Linked DNA regions of Oreochromis niloticus. The protein of the gene in region 1 interacts with the protein of each later gene in a biochemical or structural test. Links are inferred from orthologs where the notes say so. Each region holds a gene or a part of one and is shown on either strand. Other genes may lie near its edges.

Evidence for each region.
Region 2: the proteins of mapk8ip3 (region 1) and mapk10 form a complex in vitro, tested with the Homo sapiens proteins (3 studies listed by BioGRID, with this or other methods). The link is inferred for Oreochromis niloticus from reciprocal best matches to the Homo sapiens genes MAPK8IP3 and MAPK10.

The regions. Positions count from the first base shown.
Region 1 is NC_031969.2:14,099,091-14,111,098, reverse strand, and holds the start of mapk8ip3 (C-Jun-amino-terminal kinase-interacting protein 3), read left to right. Parts: upstream 1-7,587; 5' UTR 7,588-8,258; coding exon 8,259-8,564; intron 8,565-12,008.
Region 2 is NC_031972.2:17,602,982-17,614,211, forward strand, and holds the start of mapk10 (mitogen-activated protein kinase 10), read left to right. Parts: upstream 1-5,444; 5' UTR 5,445-5,753; coding exon 5,754-5,756; intron 5,757-11,230. UniProt on the Homo sapiens protein: Serine/threonine-protein kinase involved in various processes such as neuronal proliferation, differentiation, migration and programmed cell death.

The DNA.
Region 1 (12,008 bases):
AAATAAATAATAATAATAATAATAATCATAGAAAATTCAATGAAATTATCAACAGAAACGATGTTTGAACAAAAAAGTTCCAAACTGCTTTTTAAAACAATTCACAGACTCGACTAAATGTTAGTGGTGTGCCATACTGCAAATTTTGGTATCCATCCAATACCAAGTATATATATTTACTGCCAATTGGTACTACAAATACCGATACATACACATTACAAAGGCAGTAAAAATCAATGTGCCGTGATTTAGGAGATTAATCATTATCAGTTTGCAAAACTCTGAACATATTTTAATGATCGCTGATGTTTACTTTCCACTTAAGGAATTAACACATCAAAACACACTTTTCAGCTTTTCGTGTATTTTTAAACTAAGTTGTTTTTTTGTTTCTTTTTTGAGACCTGAAATGAAAATGTGCATTTCTTTAATGCATGAAGGCTCGTGGTTTGTGTTTGTGTGAACTTTGCAGTATGATTTATAATCGTCTGCACCAACATCGTGCCAAATGAATTTGCTGTGTGCTTTTGCCTGTTAGATTTGAACTCACACAATGGGAAACTGGCAAATACTTTGTTTCCACCAGCATTTAAAAGAGCTAACAAACCAACCAACCAAACAAAAAAAACAGCGGGCAGTGTGCTGAATAAATGATAAAACAACTTCGTGAAGACAAAACAAAGCTATAAAAAATGTCCACGAGCACAGACATGCATACAAAAACTGCGTGACTCCTTGCTGGCTGTAACTCACCGTGCGTGATCACCTGTAATGCTCTTTAATAAGACAGACATGTGAGCATTCTAATAGATGGTAAATGGTAAATGGCCTGTATTTATATAGCGCTTTACTAGCCCGTAAGGACCCCAAAGCGCTTTACACATCCAGTCATTCACCCAGTCACACACACATTCACACACTGTCTGTAAATTAGGATAGCTTACTAGCCATCATGGAAACCCCGATAACAACACAGTGGGGAGTCGCTTGACATTCAGTGCACCAGTACGCTACATGTTTGACATCCACACAACTTTCACTTAATCACAACAACTGACGATCATCGCTGATCAGGGCTGGACTGGGACAAAAAATCGGCCCGGGCATTTAGACTAGAGACTGGCCCACCAGGTGTTATAGGAAAAACCATAAAGCATTTGAATGAAAATAGACGCTGTTGTGACAGTGATGTACACCGTCATGTTGGTATATGTATGATTTCTATACATTTTACATCAGATAAAAACTTCGGTTGTAAGATTCAGATAATTATTTATTAAAAGCTAGACATTTTAAATGAGAATAAGAAAGAAAAGTATTTCTTTGTGTCCCCCTTTACCTGTTAATACCCTAACTGGCCCCCCTGGCAAATCTTTGCTAGACCCGCCCCTGCACAGTTACCAGCTGTCAGCTACTTAGAAAAGGATCCTGGTGTTATTTCTCAGAAACAGTTCATAACTTCCCTTCAACTCATTCATGTCACCTAAAAGGTAAACCTGTTTCTCCATCACCTGTTCAGCTCTGATGATTCAGTAAGGACATCTCCTGGTTTCATCTGCATGTTTCCCTCTCACCACACATCCAAACTGATATCATGACCAGCAGCTTTACAGCTGTGGCTCCAGCAAACATCAGCTGATACTAGAAAGTCATATTAAATAAATTCTAACAACAGCCGATCAAGCTTAAACGTGCTGCTGTTGTTTACCACTGGTTTCCTCTTTCTGGGGCAAAGTGGGCGATAAATAAACAAGAGAGAAAAGCCGATCAGCTGATCATTGATCAATTTCATGATTGAAGTAGAAACAGGAGAGAGAGGGAGAGAATGAGAGAAGAAGAGGCAGCTGTGCACCAAAGACAGAATAACTCCAGCTTTGTGTCTTTTTCATTGTAGCTGAAGCCCGGGACAAACTGTGTTCCTTTTCACCTCAATACAAAACGCATAACATTTTCTCTAAATGCGGGACGATTTCATTTTTACTGGTCGGTTGGCAACTCGACTACTAAGCTTAAAATGAATAAAAAAGTTCACTATCAGTAACATCAAAGCACCAACACAGCTGTATCCGGTTGTTCAGTCTGACGTCACTGGCCGTGTCTGGGCCTAAACTCTGCTGCAGGTCCATATATCAAATGATCACTGTGGCATTACTGAGAGTTAAAACACTGTCTAAAGTCTTTCATCTTTAATAAAATGATCAGCGTTCTTCTCTACCAGGTGTAACAATTGAGTTTAACATCCAGGCATCCATGAAAACGGAATTTATGACATTTAACGGAGTTAGAAGTTAGCAGGAAGTTAGCTCGCTAGCTTCCATCTAAATACAATATAGCATGTCCTGACTGCAGGGGTTTAAAAACAAATTCAAACGTACAGCTCTGCTATCACTTCAAACATAAATGAAGACAGAAAACTAAACAGCAGTGACGTTTGTAGGGTTACTGAAGTTTGGCTAGCTGGTATATAACGATGTGCTACGTGACCGCTAGCAACACAGCTATGTTAGCATATTATAAACAAGCTAACTTTTTTTCCACTCGACAAAAGTTAACGTGAGTGTTCTCAGTGGTCAGGAACAAATGTAATCGCATGGCAGGATGCTGTAAACGGACCAAACTTCAGCCAGGAGAACAACTGAGATAATCCATCCACAATACGAGGTTAGTTATTCATATACTGCTGCATGGGCTGTGCTGTAGTTACATCGTAAGGTTTTAAAAACTGAGCTTAAATAAATGATTAGCGGTAATAAAAGCCGAGGGAGGTCAACGGTGATCACTGAATGTTTTTAGGAGCTTTTTGAGATTAAATAGAAGAAAATACAAAGCATTAAACATGTTAACAACACAAAAGCCATATTAAACGCAGACTACTTTAGGCCCGGAAGTAGGATTCGTCGCGTCATCACTGAACAACCGGATAGAAACTCCCTCATGCTAGCTAGTACACAGTATGAGTTATTGTAACTGACTGTAAAAAGTCAGCACAACGAAAATAAACTCCACCTAAACTTGGCTTATATCTGACCCAGATAGACTGCAGGTCATAACTTCTTACCTGAAGTTCAGTTCACCGCCTCGGTCTCTGCTCCTCCTGCCTCTCCTTCCCTCATCCACCCGCTGGCCTCTGTGGAAGCTCCACTATAGCCACCACCAAACAACTGAGTTATTTTTACACATCGGCCATAAGTCATCGGCCCATAAGGACGAAAAATCACCGTCCAGCTATGTCGCTGATCATCAGCTTATAGCGGTTGCTATAGGTAACGGCACGTCACCGTCATGTAGGCGGAGCTTAGCGCTAGAATCCCTTTGATCCTTTGATCCTTTAATGTCTTAAAATCCATAAATATAGCCTTCAATACAGGGTTAGTTAGTAAAAAGCATTAATGGTTGACAGTCAAACCCAACAGTGTACAGAAAACACAAAAACAGCTCCAGACTGTGGCACAGTTAGACCTGAAAATATAAAGATGAATTCTTCCAGTGACATTAGGGAAAATTTAAAAGCCAAAATTAGGGACTTCTTTCTTACCATGTCAGACAAACAGTGGAGTGCACTGAAAACAGGGTGCCCAGATGAAAACACCATGCAGTCACTTGGCAGCATTACATCATCGCTGATTCACGTCAGCGTAACGGAACTCATGGCAATGATCAAGGACTGTCAGGGTGGTGTCGTCCCAGGGGAAGTTGTCAACTCCGGGGAGGCAATGTTACAGGGAGTCGGGGAGAAATCGGAGCACTGTGCATGTTGCCCCCATTCATGCACCCAGCAACTGAGTCAGGAGGGGCCAAAAGATGCACCAGTGCCTGAGCCCACCAAGGACTCCAAAGAGAAGGAGTGTGACGTGTGCGAGGCTGAGCCCTCTGCACCTTCTGATGATGTGACAGTGGAAGCTCCACTGTCAGAGGAACAGCTGCTTGTTAAAGAGCTCGTAAATGCAGTAATTACACGCGCCTCAAGAGAGGCAAAGGTGTCGCCATCCGATGACATTCAACACCGTCTCTTCATTGCTCTGTGGGCGCAACTTAAAGAAAAAACTCTAAATATAAAAGAAAAGAGTATCAAACGTCTTCAAAAAGCAATTTTTAAAGACATTACAAAGGTGCTGAATATTACACCTAACCTTGTTATCATTGCACTGGGTGTGGCTCCGCCGCACCAACAAGTAGTCATTTCTATATTCAAACAGCACCTGTTCCGAAAGAAGCGAAACCTACTAACAAGGTTACTGGCATGGTGTGGAAAAACAGAGGACGATGGAGACCAAATACCAGAAAGTAGAAAGATCTCCCAAACACTTTTGGACGAGTTTGAAAATGATATATTTCCAATACCGGGGGACAAATCACCATCTGGTGATAGTGGCAGTTCTCTTGAGCCTTACGAAAAAGAGCATGTGAGCGCACTTATTCATAGCGTACTCTCACATGCTGCAAAAACTTCCCGCTACAAACCTTCGGTTAAACTCCACAAGCAACTTGTTAGTAGCGTGTTGTCTGATGTCAACATCAAAGACCTGTATATAGATGAAAAAAAATTAAAAGGTCTTGATAAGGCCATTTACCAAGAGCTCCGTAGCAAAACATTTTGCAAAGAACAACATATCTTAATGTTACTGAATGACGAGGACCCGAAATTGCAAAACTTGACGATCAATATAATTAAAAAACACTTGATCGAATCGATGCAGAATCCAGCCCTTAGTACGGCTGAAGAGGTTCAAAAATACAGGTCTTCTGTGGAAATCTGTGTTGAGGACTTGGTGAAGCAAGTCGTCGAAAATGCCGACTCACCCTGCTCTTCTCAAAAAGCTGATGCCATCGCCAAACAGCTGTTCAGTAAACTCTGGCCTCGAATCAAAAAGATTCAAATCCCCCCTGAACATGTGATATTCCTCAGTAATATGGTGTACAGTTCTCTCATAGAGATGTGGAAAGACCCAGATGTAATACTGGGATTCATGGCATTAGACCACAGACATGTTCACAATCTCATTATTAAGGTCTTCAGAGAGCATGCTGCAACTATATTAGAAAGCCAAACTTTCATCGGAAGCTTCTTTTCGTCTGTGGGTCGAGCTGTCGCGTTCACACATAGACAAAACAACATTAATATATCGTAAGCAATCCTGAGCAATCCATCAGGATTGCTTAAATTTTTGTTTAAAATTATTTGGACAGTTTAAGTGTATTAGTTGACATTAAAGTGACTCTTTAAATCGGCTAACAACAAATGATTCAAACAAGCCAATTTATTTCACATCCAATGAGTCACTTTAAAAATCCCATGACCGGTCGAGGCAGATGGCCGTCCCTCCCTGAGCCTGGTTCTGCCGGAGGTTTCTTGCTTTTAAAAGGAAGTTTTTCCTCCCCACTGTCGCCAAGTGCTTGCTCAGAGGGAATTGTCAGATTATTGGGGGGCGTTTTTTGTCAACTAGTACACAACTTATCTTATTGGGCACTCTAAATTGATTTTTTTTTTTTAATTAATAAAGGCCTAAAAAGATTATATTGTGTATATTGCATGTTTTCATTGTCACACAAATGTCTACATTTTCAGCCTAGACTGAACACGTGTGTTTGTCTTCTAGTCAAAATCAAACATTTTAGTAGCAACTATTGTATTAAAATATGGCAGATGTTTTACTCTGATTACACAAACTTTATGTAGGAGTAGGTCACAGATAAGAGGTATTCATTTGTAAATTTGACCTCTGACCTCACAGAGATACAGGATGACAGGATATTTGTATGTAAACTATAATGTGATATTAGAATCCACATATATTGGTATATAATCTCCTAAATGTTGCCAATGGCAGTAAGGAACATAGCTTTAAATAACATTATGATCTTTTAGACCCTCACTAGAGGGTCTAGATGAGAAATCAAATGGACAGGTCGGAGGTCAAATGTGCCCAATGCGGTACATTCTTATGTTGACAATACACACCACACTTGTAAGAATCAAAGTTATAAGTTAAATTATAAGGCTTTTTATAAGGTGTTTCTCTATGAAAGCAGTTAAGGTCATTACGCAAATACATAGGGGAGCAACTCGGGGACCCCCAAAGTGCAAGCCCACCCTCAGTATATTGGGGTCTGGAATAAAACTGGAACTAATTAAAAATGTGTAATTAATTATTTGAAAATAGAAATACAGAGCATTTTAAACTTAGTCGATTTATATTTTAATCACTTATTTATATATTTATAGAACTATTTCCTGACGTATTCAGTTATTTTGCTACTCATCAGCAGCAGTGCTGTGCATCCTGCAAATTTCGTTATCGATCTGATACCAAGTAAATTAAGAGCAGTATTGCAGATACCGATACTTTTAACCTATAAAGGGAGCTTATGTAGGGGAGAGCAGTGTGTTATTATTTATGAGCTGAATCATCGTACATTTGCCAAGTTCTGAACACATTTTCATGAACACCACCACAACAATGTTGTAATTTTAACAACCCACAGTAATATAGTAGTTAACACAGTTTTCTTGTATATTGATACTGTGGATCGTAAATGTGCTGTCTTTAAAGATAGCTGTAACTATTGAAGGACGACTCAGACATGCATATTTATGGGTGAATCTTACAGAATTCAACACCCCCGCGTTGTGCAAACAGGTTTTGCAGCTGTTTGATCTAAGATTTTCAAGTTATTCACAAAATGAAAAACTATATTCTGTTTTGAGCGAGAACGCCATTCAAATGCATGTATTAGTAAGAATCACCTTTTTTGGGCAAAATAAAGCGTTTTGGTACAACTTCATAAAGGACTTTGGGTCAGCTTCTGTTGTTTAAATTTGCTATAGGCTATAAAGATTTGGAATGAAAATATTTTTTTATTAAAAACAAGATTTTAAAAATGCACAGTTCAGTTGTGGCATAGCTGGCTGTAAGTAGATAGCCAGTGATCACTCCGGCCTCTGCAACTCAGCTGCTTTTAGGCTGCGGCATATAATAGGCTCTGGCCTGCACAGAGACACAAAGTAACACGTTTCATGCCTCTCTCTGCAAAACATGTGGGATACTGCTTGTCCGTGATTTGTGACAGGATCAACCTGATGTTATTTGTGTCCCACTATAACTTTACTGTACTCCAAAATGTCAGGAGTAGTTAGTCATTATAAGAAGTGTTTGTGAACTAAAAATCAAGAATGTGGCATACTGTTTGTCCGTGATTTGGAGAGCCCAGCGTGTGCTCCCGACGCAGGGAAACTAATTCTGTTGGGGAGACCTACCTTGGCACTTGTGCAGGTGAAGCCAAAACCAAGATATGCCTCATCATATTTTCTAGTATTTGGCTTGGAAGGAAGTTAGTTTGGAAACATATTTGGCGATGCTTCATCTTCTGCTTTGCGTTTGTGTGGGAGCCCCGTCAAAAACCTGTCCATTATGCTAGCAGTGTCCAAGCATTACCCCCCTCTGCTCTAACCTATGCAGCTTATTGTGAAATTTTGCAGCCAACATCCGGTTTCGCCTTCCTGACTTGACGCACTGCCTCTGCTTGCTCTATGCAGACGGTGTGACGTCAGCCAGAGTCGGTCAGCTGGCTCCTCCATCTGAGCAGCACAGAGAGCCTCTCCCACAGGGAGACATCACCAAAAAACGCCCGAGTCTGGCCAACAGCATCGGCGGCCTGCCGGAAGAGGAAAAGATATGGATAAAACGAGACTATAGTGGGGGATCGGCCATCGGCGGTGATCGGGAAGACTAACTAGAATATTTATTTACCTATTTATTAATTATTTATTTTCCCTGCCAGCAATGGCTGGGGTCCATGGCTGAGGCTGCTGAGAGGCAGGTGCAATACCATCGACGAAGTCGTTTCGCTCCTCGACATGGACGATCTACAGGCTGGCCCAGTGCCAATCCACAGCGCCCAGGATCTGATGCTTGCTGCCGGAGGACAGTGATAACAGGGCCGCGACTGGAGGCGATAGCCCGTAACTGGCTGGAGGAGCGGGAGGAGGAGGTGGAGGAGGGGGCCTATTCATATCAGTTTATTAGAACCGATATTTTCAGCAGGGGACTCAAGGTTATGCGCACACAACAGTCTGCCGCCGTTCAGTAAACCTGCTGCAAAATGGCATGACTGTTCTCCTTTTTGAAGGCAGACTGTGATTGAATGTGCCCCTTCCCCCGTGCTGAGCGGATTCAAAAGCGGTGACACCCTCGCCTTTTAGGAGGGCCTGAAAAACTGTTGAGAGGAGGCGCAGCTTCATCTGGACCACAGCTGCCAAGATGATGGAGCTGCAGTTAGACGAGGTGGTCTACCAGGACGACTACGGCTCCGGCTCCGTGATGTCGGAGCGGGTGTCGGGCCTGGCAAACAGCATCTACCGGGAGTTCGAGCGGCTGATACACAGCTACGACGAGGAGGTGGTGAAGGAGCTGATGCCGCTTGTGGTGAACGTCCTGGAAAACCTCGACGCGGTGCTGACGGAGAACCAGGAGCACGAGGTGGAGCTGGAGCTGCTGAAGGAGGACAACGAGCAGCTCATCACCCAGTATGAGAGGGAGAAAGCGCTGCGCAAGCAGGCGGAGGAGGTGCGTTAAAAGAGCTCCCCACACAGCACCGCAGGCCCTTCATTATCATCACTTCCAGTCGTCCTGTTCTGTAGGCACATGTGACTCATGTTTAGGCCTGTGACAGGGATTGCTAAACGTATTATTAGTGTCACTGCACTGCAGTCACTCCTAACCACACTGCTTACGTTATTTAAGGATATTTAAATCAGTATAGAGACACCACTGGAAGTTTCTTTTTCTTTTAAAGAGGGTCAACCAGGTAAACAACAGGGACGTTTCCGGGATTTCTGAAATCAGGAGGCCCAGACCAAGGCAGGGGTGCACAGCAGTGTTGAAAACACTGGGCACAATTATCATAATTATCAACTAGGAGTCCTCATGCAGATGGTGTTATTATAAAGGTAAACCATTGTTTTGGTTTAAAACAATGTTTTTGCAACGTGTTAAAGAAGTATTTAGATCCTGTAGGTGAGTAAAAGTTGTAATCCTGAATCCAAATATGGGTTTATGGCAGAATCATAAACATTGCATTACCGGATCATAGTATAATATCTTTATCACTTTAATCTTATGACTGGAGACAATTTTAATCATGTAATCACGTTGCTACAGGGGGTTTTATGAATAATGGTAATAATAATAATACAGATTTTTAGATTCATAGATTTAGATTTTAAAATCTGCTAAATTAGAGTAAATTAAATGGTATGGAGTACAAGTATAATAACTGTACTGAAAATATAGTCAAGTGGAAATAGGAACCAGCAAAACTTCAGTAACGTACTTGAGTAAATGTGCTACACGTAATACGCCATCACTCATTATACTCCAGCCCTCATCTGTACTGTAAGAACTGTCTGAGACAATTATATTTCTGGGGGTGGGCAGTGCCCCCCTTCTGACTTTTGAAGTTAAGCACATGCATCGAGACAAAAGACATCTTACAGTTTTACCCTCGTTGTCTGTTTATCAACATCAGATTAAAGTTTTCTTTATGAAATAAAGTTAAAATCTAACATCGATTCATTCTGTTGCTACAAGTTTTCCAAATATTGCTGTTTAACTTTAAAGTTAAAGTGAATAGCTTTGTTACTATTACAGGTTTTTATTATCACTTTTGTCCTGCCAGTACTGCTGCAACCACCGGTGTAATTACAGCCAGCTAACTGCTAACAGTGCTGCTACCACCATCATCACACATGGAATTTTAAGTGCTCCTTCCTTAAACATTAACACAGCACAGCAGAAGTATATGCAAATATAACAAAAACACAGTATGCAAACACAAAGTGAGGGAGGACATGATAGCAGGACATGCATGAAGATAAAGGCACAGTCGGCGTGACTCTGTGTGGGCGTTTGCACTCGAAAACAGTGAAAGAACAGGAACACAAACAACAAAAAGTGTGTTTCAATACGGGGCTATTAAATTACAGACTGGACTCCACCTGCAGCTACTTTTATCTCCTCTGTTTTTACCTGAGTGGTGTCATAGCAGCAGTGAGATCCTGCAGGCAGGCATCATAAAGCAACTTTAATCCTCCTCCCATCCAAAGAGGCCTCAGAGTATCACTGGCGGCCCTGCTGGTGTCAGCTTAGCTCAGCTTTTAGCTCACTTTGTCATCTGCTCTCCCCAGCGGCGTCTCCTCTGTTAGTTATCTAGTTTGTTTTCACTTTAAGCTGCCTTGTATTAAAGGTTCAGTTTAATATCATTACAGACAGAAAATGCTTATGGTGAAAATAGGATTTTGTAGGGCCAGTACTTGAAAATGAACATGTGCTGCAGGTTAAAGTAGGTGCTAAGCCATCAGTCGTGCCTCTGCAGAAACTGAAAAGGAAAACTGTAACAACAATGCATGCCTTTACATGCTATTTATATGTGTGCCAAAAAAACCAAAACACTGACGTCACAGTATAGGAATCAGATCGTCTTTTTGTGGTCAGCTAGGACTCTTTCCTTGCCTAGATTTTTTTCACCCACATGCAAATCTTTCTTTGCACCTCTGGCACAAGCTGTCTCGAAGACACCGCGTATTTAAGATTTGAAGTTTCGTGCAGGGCTGCCCACACTTTTGCACAAACCTGTACTTGTTTGGTGACATTAGATGACAAATAAACAGACAGTTTTCTCCATCACTGGGGTGCAGAGGGGGATGGGATGATGTGCAAATGGGTAGAAGTCACAGGAAATCAATAGCACACAGAGCTCACTGGGGGAGTCTGGGACTGTAATCTGATTTGTGCTTATGAGAAGCAGAGAGAGAGTGAGAATAACAAAAGCAGAGAGAAAGAAACAGACTGAGGGTTATATGAAGCTACAGCAGAGGCGAGCAAACGCCCAGCCCAGCCCAGGCCAGATCGAAAAGAGTCTAAGGATAATAAGAGGAAAAAGAAGCAAACAGAGTCTGAGGAAAACAATAATGCCTCCTCCTGCAAGACATGGGCAACAACAAGCAGAAAAGGCAGCTCAGATTATAAAGTTATTAGAGCTAACAGCCGAATCTTTTTACTCATGAAGCGTTCGACCGAGATACCCACAAGCACAAATTTAACCATTTTGTAGCATCTCCTGCTAAAAGATCCCATGTTTGTCTCCAACCATCTTTTCCCCATCTCTCTTAATGTGATTTACATACAAAGGATTAACCAGCTAAGTTCCACATGTTATCTTAACCTCTAGATTTTATAATAATTTCAAAGATTTCAGATTGTCCTCTGTATTTTCATGCTGCTGTGACTTCACACCCTCCTCTGATATCACTCAGATATAACTCCTCAGATATCAGTGTGGTCACAGTTGAGCGTGTGACCACACTGCAGTCACACTTAGAGTCAGTTTGTCAGGAAAGCTCATTAGTTTCACTCGTCACGCATCGCAGGATTGCTTAATGAGAATTATTCTGACTGGACCACGCAAACATTCGTTCCTACGCTGTGTCACGTTACCTGTCTGAGTGCTGTTCGCACAGTTTAAAGTTATTTATGAGAATGCACCGCGTTTTTCTTGCTTCTGTAGCCGTGCCTCACTAACACTGCATTTTAATGGAAAGTGATGTGCCTTTACCTGCACGGGTTTGGGAGCCTCGTGCAGATAAAGGCATGGGGAATAGAGGGGTGGACTTGAAGGGCACCTTCCTATTTTGAGGGGGGCAGGACGAAAGATATTGCTGTGTTTTGTTTCAGCGAGAAAAAAGACATCTAGTATGACACAAAGACAGTGTTTTGATGTGTAAACTTGGTCGTTTATCATTGAATCTATAGTGTGTTAAAGCTGTGGATGTTGAGCAGTGACAGGGCTGGAGGTTCACTCTTCCTGCACCATGAGTACAGTGCAAAAACTGCAGCAGCTACAAGAATGCTGCAGCAATCACTCTGCAATTTCTTCAGGAATTTCACGTTCTCCTTCTGCTAAAGCTGCAGGGAGACTACAGCATTAGTGTTGTTTACTCTGCTGTGTGTTTC
Region 2 (11,230 bases), on another chromosome or scaffold:
GGTGCTTAGGAGGCAGCGGGCCAAAACAGCGAGACCAGACAGCCTTCACCACCTCAGCGCCCCATTCTCTGTTTTTCAAACTGTGGAGATGTTTGTTCCCAGATATTCCTCTGAATTCCCATACCATAGCTAGGAAAAAAGGGGAAACTAAACAAAGATTAGTCTGCTGCTGTTCATGTTTAAAAGCCTTGGCTACAGTCACAAGGATTTTGAAGAAAATAATCCTTGGAAACGTGATAATGTTCTTTACTCTGCACTTTTCCTTTCCTCCCACCTTCCGCTGTCACGGCTACCAGTCCACAAAATGGATTTGAAAAGAATCACCTGCAGCTAAATAACAGAAGCACACATAATTCCAGTTTTCCTGCTGTCTTCCAAGTTCATCCCTCAGCAATAAACAAAAACCTAACCCTGCTCGAAATCATCTGAAAACAAGCCTAGCTGCACTTTGGGGGCAATGTGGCATAAAAGCACCAGATTCCACTCTTCCTTCCAAAAGCACAACTCATAAGATATGAGAAGGAATTTGTTCATATCCTCCAAACATCAGAGCTGTGGTCTCAGCTGGCAAGCACATCTGGAACAGAAGCTGGTAAGAGGTGGTGGGGAGGGGAGAGGGGTTACCCTGCGCCAGCACTGAGGTGAAAATCGTCCTGAAGGTTTTACATGCCAGGAAAATTCAGTACCAAACTCTGAGTGAACCTCTATTCCCTGAATCTTACTGTACTGTGCAGCCTGCAAGCACATGATTCGTATTTAAAAAACACACCCGTGTGTGTGTGTTTTGAATTTGAAGAAAGGCTTGATCAAGATATCTTTCGCGAACACGCCTTATGACATAAGCAATGAGAATTCATACATAGCTAACTAGGCTGCAAGCTACTGAGTTCATAAAATGCAACTTTAAGCCAGAATTATGGTTTGAAAACCTCAACCTTCACTACCTGTTAAAGTAGCTGATGTGGTGCTCCACTGCAAAAATTAATTTCCAGTTGTATTCACAGCTGTGTCCTGCTCATGTTTGCTTATGAAAGAAACTGAGCAGAGCATGAGTGACTCAACTAAATAAAATGGGAAAACCCAGTGGTGAGTTTTCATTATTTTTGACTGACGTACAATCAGTAGACATGCTTTTCCACATTACTTATTAATGTCTAAACAGGGATGCTGACAATTACAGCAATGGGACCAGTACCTTCCAAGTACGTCCTGTTAATCATCTCTGAGTGTTGGTGTTTGTCTTGTTTTTTGGTTGTTTTTGTTTTGAACAAAGCCAGGGTAGGAACCAGAAAAGAGAGCTTAGACTATTTTGTTGAATATCAGCCCAGCTCTGGACCAACAGCCCTCACTTCTCATTTTGGTCTCGACCTCATCCGCTCCATTTCTGTTAATCACAGGGTTGCTATGAGTACAGTGACATGCAGAGCATGGTTTTGCAAAAAAAAAAACCTCACTCCAGCTCCCCCCCACCTCTTCCCAGCACACACACACAAACCCAACCCACTGTCTATATTCCTATTTTTTCCTCTTTTTCTTGACGGTGCCCCATTATAGCCACTTTAAACCTGGTCAGGCACACAGCCTAACCTGATCGTCTGCAAATTGACCTCTGACCTTAGGTTAATTACCATAGAAAAGCGGTGAAGTTAAGGGGGAAGGGGGCCAAGCTGCCTTCCCCGATAAAACCTTCAGTCTGTAGAGACACTATACCGCTTCACCTTTTGCTAGGGTTTAGAAGGAGAGTGTACGCTAAAATGTTATTCGCATTTCTCATAATTATCCAAAAATGTCCAGGTAGAATCACTTGAAATAAGTCAGTCTGCTAGTCTTGTGCTATTTTTGAGGTGGTGTTTCCACCCTCGCAAAATTACAATACGATGTGATTAGCTTAGAGATGCTCCATTTGTCAGGGATTCTGGACTAAGTTAACAAGACATGACGCATAACTTTTAAGGTCGAGACATATTAGTTAAATATCAACAGCGCAGCCAGCTAGTAGTTCTGACGATGTTAGTTTTGTTATTAGTTTTTAAAAAAGGGGTGGAAAAGACATAAAACCTCCGGTATTTGAGGCTCCTCACGAGTTACTCAATCCCTCGGTTATCCCGGTTTGGCTAAAGTTAGCTAGGACACTATAAAGTTTGTTTACATCACTTTCTGAGCGGTTCATAAGAAGCTTACCGGCCGAGACGAGCTACAAAATCAGCTGTGAGGGAAATGTTGGTGCTCGGACGAGGTTATGAGTGGGCATACAAACGGCACCAGACGCCATCCCATCCACAAAGCAACATCTTGGATCGTAGCTGTCGGCGAGGCAGGCAGACAGGCGGAGAGGCAACAGGTTTACCTTTCCGCGGAGCAGTCACCTATAAAAATCCACTTCCACTGAAGCTGGCCACAGCGAATGAAAAAAGAAAAAAAAAAGTAAATCTGGTCTTCTGAAACTCCTCAGAAGCTGCGCTTGTTGGCCACTAAACAGTACTGCTCTCACCACCAGAGAAGCCAAGTTACCATTACTGCTGAGGAGTGGAACAACTCCTCCCTTTGCGCGTGGGCTGACTGGAAGTAACCAGACACCTTACTGTGGCTGTCTATTGGCTCTCCGCGAGGGGACTGTCATTTAGCCGTTCCTATAGTAACACAGTACCAAGTCATGGAAGCAGAGTATGTATCCAGGTCCCCGACGTTTCTTAAAAAGTGCTCTTATAAAATTAAATATTGTCCACTGAGATACATTTAATAGTTGTATAATATAGAAGGTTTTTTTTTAATTACTTTAAGATACATTTCTTTGAAATACACCACTTCCATAGGGTTATGTATGGTATATGTGTGAATCTAGTAGTGAATCTTGTGTATTTTAATATAATTGAAAGGGTGTTTTTTAAACAGTTCTTAAACCATGGGAAATTACGACGGACCTGACCTGTTTCCTGTTTAAAATAATTCCAAAATTAACCATGATTTCTGTATATCCCATAACATCAAAATGAGTCAACTAAGCAGTCAGGAAGCAATTCACTGCTGAGTACTTCCTTCCTATAGGTGCTCTTGTCTTGATGGGCTATTTTTGTGGTTTACTTTGCGCCATCTTGTGACATTTATTCCTCATTACAACCTTTAGTAGCCAGATTGTGGCCAAGGGTTATCTCTGCCTGCCTGTGCCTGTTAGTGCTCAAAGGCATGATTATTATCACCAGCCATTGCCTGCAGTGATAAGGCTTGATTACTTGACACTGATTTTCCACTTAGATTGAAACCAGTATTATCATTTCAGCAGATGATGCCATTGCATATAAACCATTTCATTTTTTGCACAGGCATGTCTCTGTAGGTGCATACTTAGTCTATTTCTGAATGCAATAAGACAAATATTTTATGCATTCGTTATATTTTTAGTCTTATTTGTAGGAATTGTTATACTTTTATTCGTATAACAGTCTGTTGGTGGGGATCTTACAACATCAGCACTATAGATCACCAAGCACAACAACTCAGTAACAGAGACAAATATGTTGTAAAAAATAAATAAATAAAGGAGAACAAGAACAACCAAACCAGAACAACAATCATTAATACATGATATGCCTAACCATTATGGCTAACTATTATGACGCCCTCAATAATCCGATAAAATTATGATATTTGCAAAGATAAACAGCATCTTTGATTGGCCCACCAAAGAATATGTGACAGAAGATAAGATTGTCTCTTTATTTTCAATTCACTGCATTTCTGAGGATGCTCAGAATCATACTCAATCATTTGTTAGCTAGTTAGTTATAGCTTTCCTTCTAAAAACATGTAATATTTGGGGAGGCTGCTTAAGTTTTTTTCCACTTTTGTTACACTGTTATGATAAACCGTTACAGCCGTTGGAATGTCCTGTTGTGTACCTGTTGTCTCCTTTGACTGACTAGCCTTTAATCACTCTACATTACCTGGAGCAGAGAGGCCTCATCTGGGGACAGAGTCTGGATAAGCAAGTTCTCGCTAAGCCTTAGTAAGGAGTTCTGAATTTTAGATTTCTTCTTCCTGCTATTTCTGTCAGTACTGTCCTTAATACCTCCTTATTGGCACTGGCCTGAGCCCTTGAGGTAATTTGCACTAAAACCCTGAAAGAGTGGATATGACTGTCATGATAATCTTGAATGTGGGGCACCTGGAACTGTTGGCTGTGTGTGTGTGTGTGTGTGTGTGTGTGTGTGTGTGTGTGTGTGTGTGTGTTAGGGTGGTGGTTTTCCAGTATGTTTAGCCTTTGGTTCCAGCTGGAAAGCATTAAAAAAATCTGACCCTCCATTGCACTTACTTTGAAATTTGGTCCTTTATCTGTGTTGAGTTAAAATAAAAGCTTGGCAATAAATTGTCTCAGACACTTCAGAAGTAAATGTATACAGACTGATGTTTTGAAGCTCTACATGCAAATCCCCCTATTGTCCCCAATGTTGTGTCAAAGCCCTTTTAACTTATAAGACCTGGCCTCTGTACTCGACAGTGATGAATTCTCACACACTGAAATTCACTCAGAGGCATCAGACCAGATTATGCTGGTATTTTGCTAGTTTGTGATTACAGTAAGTTAATTCAGTGGTTCCACAAGCCTGGGAACAAAACAAAACAGCAACCACTGCCTCTGAGTTTCCGTGAAGCTGGTGCATTTATCAGCTTGGTTCAGGAGGGATTTTTGACAAATTATGACAGAAAGGGATTTTTTGTTTTTCTTTTTGGTTGCTTGGTTGGTTTTTACAAGAAAAGACATTTTATCAGCTAACAAAATGAGCAATGGAAGATAAGCATTTAACAAAGTAAACCAGTGGCAGAGGCAGACTATTTTTCCAGAGTTGGTCTGGCTGAGACTATTACATTGATGTGATTATCTCCTTATCTTCTTCTTCTTTTTTTTTTTTTACTTCTTGGCTGGTAAATCTCACTTAGGCTAAATATTCAATGTTTTGGTCCCTCTCCCTTTTAATTTACATATGCAGGTTTCCATGCAGAAATCTCTGTGTGGAAGCCTCCTCACAAAGCTCACAAAACAGTTTAAATGTCTGCTTTGTTTAATGTGTTTGTGTGTGTAAAACTATTCCTCTAAAAAAATAACACTGTACTGGTAGTATCTGTAGTACCTTGCATATATTCTTAGAACTGGCAGTAGTTTGTTTGAAGTGGTCAGATGAGTGGAGTAGTCGGGGCTGGCAGCAGACACGCCCCTGGAAACCTGAGCAATAACAGAGCTTCATATCCTCAACGATCTGCGTGACCGCACCAGCGGGACGGTACAGGATGGGATGAGAAGATGCTCTAACACGCCCCTCCCATCCGGGGGGACAGCTTCCATGTGATCTCTCCCTCTCCCCTCTCTGTCCTGGCTTTGACGTCAGACGTGCTCCTGTTCGGTTGCCATGGCAACATCGCCCCCCATTCCCCCCTCTTCCCTCCCTCTCCTCTCTCTCTCTCTCTCTCTCTGCTCTGGTGAGGTCCACAATGGTACAGCCAGCATCTTGCAGCACAATGGTTGCAAGGTGGTGAGCTGAGGGAGAGTGATTCAGCATCAGCAAGCCTCGGTTCGGTCCACCTCTGCTTCTTTTCCCCCTTTCTCTCTCGTCTTCTTTTTCGGACCCCTTTTTACCTCTCCCTCCTCACATCAATGAACGTTTTCATGAAGCCTTCAGCTATGGTCTCCGCAGTGTTTCCCGTCGGGATGTTTTGAAAAGGACAGGCACCGGACTGGGATCGTCATCAACTGGCACGGAATGGTAAGGCCGGACGGATTTGTTTTATTTCAGTGTGGATGCGATGCTTGGATCTCGTGCCTGGCCGGAGGGTGGAGTGATGAATATTGATCGGAAGGGAAGGTTAATGAAGTCCACTAGTGATGCCTCAGTGAAGGGGGGAAAACGGACAGCGATTGATAAATAAATAAATAAATAAATAATCAACCCCATCTTGAGTCATTCATAGCAGCGTGTGTTGTTCTATAATTCACTAAGAGGGCTGTGGGGGATTTCATAACGACGCGAGCCCTCTCCTGACAAAATATCTCGCATCTTGCATTGCCTTGAACGCACATCGATAATAACATCATCCAAATTGGGTGAGAGAGAGAGAGAGAGGGGTGGGGGTGGGGGGGGGGGGGGGGGTATCCAGGCTACCTCCCTTTCCATACATCCACACAGTCCGATTAGTCGGCGTTATGTATGTTTGATTGGCGGCTGAAACTGGATGCTGACTGAGTGATGCTCTTCATATCTCTTCATAGCCTTACACAGGCTACATATTGGAGGCCTACATGCAGGGCTTGTCCCTCCTCCTCCCCCTCACAAGTCAACTGCGCACCTTGTGCATTATGCAGACCATCAGTACTTCACAGAGATGATGGGGGGGGCTTGCCTCATGTCTTTCATAAGTGCTGGAAAACTGTGTCCTCCTGCAAACAGTCTGTGCTATAGTGGTGATTTATAAGCCCATATGGGTGTCTCTAAGAGTCGTGGTTTTGCTGCTGTGATTGTTTATAGTGTATATGAAAAGAAACAGTTGAAGTAATTTCTGGGCTGTTTGTCATGAAAGCTGAACTTCAAATAATCCTAATCCTGCAGAGAGAGAGAGAGAGAGAGAGAGAGAGAGAGGTGCTGTTCAGCCCTAATGTGGGCTGCATGCTGTGTAGTGGATTAAATGAGATGAAGCTGCAGAGGAAGGTAATTTCTCTAAATCAGCTTTGTCCTGAGTGCTCGATCATTGGGAAGGCATGGCAAACCCACCTCACCTACTGCACTGATTGCACAGGTATGCAGACATGAGCAGGGCTCTCTGTTCTATTACTATTTCTTGTTTTTGTGCAGGCCCATAGTCATGGACTAATTGCTGGCTTTGTGCTGTGCAGTGGAGTCAATAGATGTTTGAAGGGATCACAACAAACTCTTCATGTTCATGACAGGAGGGAAATAGAGTTTTCTTTTTTTCTTTTTTTGTGTGCCGTGACCTTGTGTGCTGAATTATTCAGGAGCAGGCTTCCATCCATGTTTGTGAAAGTGCTGCAGGGAACAGGCTTAACAGTTAAACAAAGCTTTTTTTATGGGTGTCTCCGCAGCAGCTGAAGAGTTGCTTTTTATTTCTTTTTTATTGGATAAATAGGCTAAAGGTTCTACCCTTTCTCCTCCTTGTCATCTTTAGCTGCCAAAAAGGAACTCCCCCCCCCCAAAACACCTCTGGTGAATTTCAAAAGTAGCTCCAGCATTATATAAATTCATATTTAAAAAAAACAGTCTGTTTGATTTGATGTGATATTGACTAGCAGTGAGGCAGCTTGTTTATATAACGGAGCATCATCAATAGAAATAGTCACCAGTAGACTAATATTATGCTGCACCACTGCACTCATTTTTTTCCACCATTCTGTTTTTGTTTTGCTGAGTCTGGAGCATCAGTGCAATAATCCTTTGTTATGTAATAAAATAAGGCAGTGCATTAAGTTGAGATAATGGAGGGATTTCAGGCTTTATTAATCAGCAAAGTAGGGAATGTTATCTTCTAGCCATTATTTGGTTGGTCACTCCAGTCAGTTTCACACAGTCTGTGGTAATGTCTTTAAATGTCCCGTTTTGCCCAAATAGCACTCCTAGTCTTAAATATATTCAGCTGGCAATGCTATATAACAGCAAAGTCATTACAAATGAAACCACAGGGAGGAGAGGAATGGATAAACAACAAAAAATAATAATTGAAATTACTGTAGAGATTCATGGTAGCGAGTCTGAAGGTGAAAAAAAAACCTTCCTCCTCCTGACAATCAGTTACTTAAATATCCACATCAGTCATCTGAGGGCCTGTCTGTCATTGCTCTCGTTTATGGAAGGTCAAACTCATCATTAGATGAGGATGGGTTACTGAGGAACGCTGGCACAGTCTGCCATCACCCAGTGACCCCAGCTGAGCATTGTTCCTAGCTGTGGATTGGTGCTAATAATCCATATTACAATGACAGCTCAGTTATTAACTTGGGTGAATTAAATTCAACAGTTGTCTCAAGATGGATAATTAAACAAGAGAGGAAAAAATATGGAAAACACTGGCTGTGAAAAAATGTAAGCAAGTAAGGGAGAGAAGATTTATTTAGCCAGCCTGAAGTAGATTAAGACGTGCTTGGTAAGTGGTCACACTTAAAATCACATAACTATTAGTAATGTCCTAGATATAACTGCTTAGAAAGCTGAAAAATGTGCTCCGAGGACATCTTTCATAGCATGCTCTTATTTATTTTAGTTTTAAAAAATGAAATTCTCGCTGTGTGCCAGTTTATTCCCCCCCGAGTCGCAGTATTGCTTACAACTACAGACAAACAGTGACAATATGCCTGCAGCATGGGAAATGCAGTTATGTAATTGGATTTGATCTGACAAATATGCAGCTTTTATTTGCCTTTACAGATAGCTGCGTGCAAGACTTTGAGCTGTTTTAGATTTGATCGCAATCTTCTCACACTGCATATGAAGATAATTAGGAGACAACAAAGGTCACCGTGGAAACTCAGGTGTTATCAAAGGACCTGAGGGTGGAGGAGTTACATAAATTCATCAACACAGGGGGGGTCGATTTTTGTTGTTTTGCTCAAACTGAGGTGTTTACAAGTATAAAAAGTTCAGAAAGTATGCCACAGTTGAAACAGAGCAATAGAAATGTTCACAGTTCACATGACAGTGCTGAAAACTTCTCTGTCATTATGCCAAAATAAAAGTTAAAAGTGTTCAGGATGCCATTTTTGCAGGATGCTCCAGTTGTGGCTCTTCTTCTTCTCCTTCTACTGAATGTGTGTCAGGTTTTGCAAGAAAAGCTGTAAATCAGATGATTGCACTCAGCACTTGCCAAAGGTGTACATGTCGTTACTATGCAGCCTATCAGAAAACTGCAGTGTCAGCGTGGTTTTTCGGCCAGCGTGCCTGCTGTTTACCTAAAGCAAATCAGAGGATGTGAGCAAGACTACGTACGAGAGCAGAGACAGAGGAGGTGAGCAGATTTGCAGCTGTGAAGAAACAAATCGATGGGTGTCAGTGAGCGTTCGGATTCTGACACCCCTTAGATGAGTCAGTCCAAGTCTTGTTCTCCTGCCTGGGCCCTGCAGTTACTTTTCTGTTTTCCCCGAGCCCAAAAGGGGGAGGCTGTGCTGCGTTTAGCTCAGGCTGCACAAGGAAAAGACGAGGCATTCGCTGCATACTGCAGGAGAGGCTGAGGCTGCTGAACCAAGCACTCACAATGGAGCTCCGAGGGAGGGGGAGGGGAGACAATTGCAGGCAGGCTGGGAGCCTGGGAGTGGGAATGGTGGGAGCGAGGGAGGGACAAAAGACAGGAAGGGTAGGGAAAAATGCAGGCTCTCATCAGTGCGGACGATGGAGGGAGGAATAAAGAAACAAGGGGGATATGGGCAATGTTGTGGTGCGAACTGGGTGACATCAACAAAAGGAGTGGAGTGGGAAGATGGAGAGAAAAGATGGATATGAGAGCAAACATTGGTATCTGTGGACATTTTGACTGGCACATGACTGGCTTTATTGTGCTTTATCATTACTTTTTAGTAGTCAATCAGCCTGACAGCACAGACAGTGCCTTTGCTGAACAAAGAATACAGTGGGGAGAACCGTAGAAGCACAGCAATGACATCCTGTAGCAATGTGCGTGAGTCCAACCAAAAAACAGGCATAAAATGCCCGCTGAAAGCAGGTGAGACATAGCTACCACACAAAGACGAGCATCATTATTGCCTGTTTCCAACACCTGCACCTCTAACACTGTTCCTGCCGGTGCTTATTACTACACTGTACCATTGGAGAAAATACTTTTTTTCTCTGTCTCAGAGGCCGCTATGACCGCTATGTCTACCATTTCTGTCTATGAATATTTTCAAAAGCAGAAATGGCAGACATAGTCAAACACACCTTTCAGTCCTGAGAGACTCTTGGTAGATATTGGCATGACGCCCCTTGGCTGCAATTCTGCAGCTAGTAATGAAATGGACCCTCATGACACACAAGAAATATCTCATAACAGATCCTTTAATAATAGTCTGTGGGCTTTTAAACTCACCACACTTGAAAGGTCAGAGTCAGAAGAACTTGACGGTACCCCAAAGCCTCTTAGCTTTACTGCAAAGGTTTTGTACTGGTTATTAGTTTGGATAAATAATTTTAGTATTGGTGTTGACCACAATATTAATACACTGAGGCCCCAAAAGGAAAAAAAAAACAGCAAAATCTGTTTTTGAAGATTACTTTTGTGTTACCTCAAACTAAGGTTTGCCTTTCCTTTGACCTGGGAGACAACTAACACTGTATCAGGGCCATGTATTATAGTAGACCACCTCCAGTTCAGACCATATTAAAAGGAATAACTATTTCACTGTATCCATAACACTGAGTGCAGCCTTTGGATAGCACTTGTTAAAATGAATGGGTGCAAAACTGTCTACTTGTTCAGCTGGCTGGGCTTTGCACTAAAGCGACTGTATTCCTCAACTCTTTTGTTGAGTTTGTAACTAAACACTAGCATGTTGAACTTAAAAGAGAAGAAAGACACCATAGGAGGAGTCAAAGATGGAATAATAATCATATTCGGTCACAGCTTCACCTGTCTTAGCCATGCATCTGTGGCAGGTGCATCTGTGACCCCAGCTAGCAGCCTCACAACATGAGCACTGAGCACCAGATACACTGCGGAGCATCCAAGCTCTCCTTTCTTTAACATCTGCAGATACTTTTTTTTAAATGGCCTGGATCAATACACTAAGTGTTCATACGGGGTAGAAGGGATTTACCGCGAAGGTTACTGCAGGCCGCACTCAAAACTAACTTACAGAGTGTGGTGGTCAGTTTTCTCTTTTAATCAGCTGCTCTAGTGTTTCTGCTGATCATGATCAAAGATGCACAATTTTGATAACCTGGCGTGGTAAAATATGATCTGCATTTTACTGTAGAGCTACTGTAGTTTGCCTCACCTATAGTGATAATGTGATTGGTTTGGTTTATCAAGGAAAAGCCTTCACCATGTACATTTAAATATCTGTATATATTATAGCTGAAAATCACTGTCATACATTTAGTATTTTATGTGTTACACACACAGACAAATACACCAATACTCTCTTTGGAATAGTTCTATGTAAAAGACTATTTGAATGTAAATTGTAAACTATATAACACCATATAATATAAACCTTTCTGCCAGGTATGAGCAAAAAAGAAGC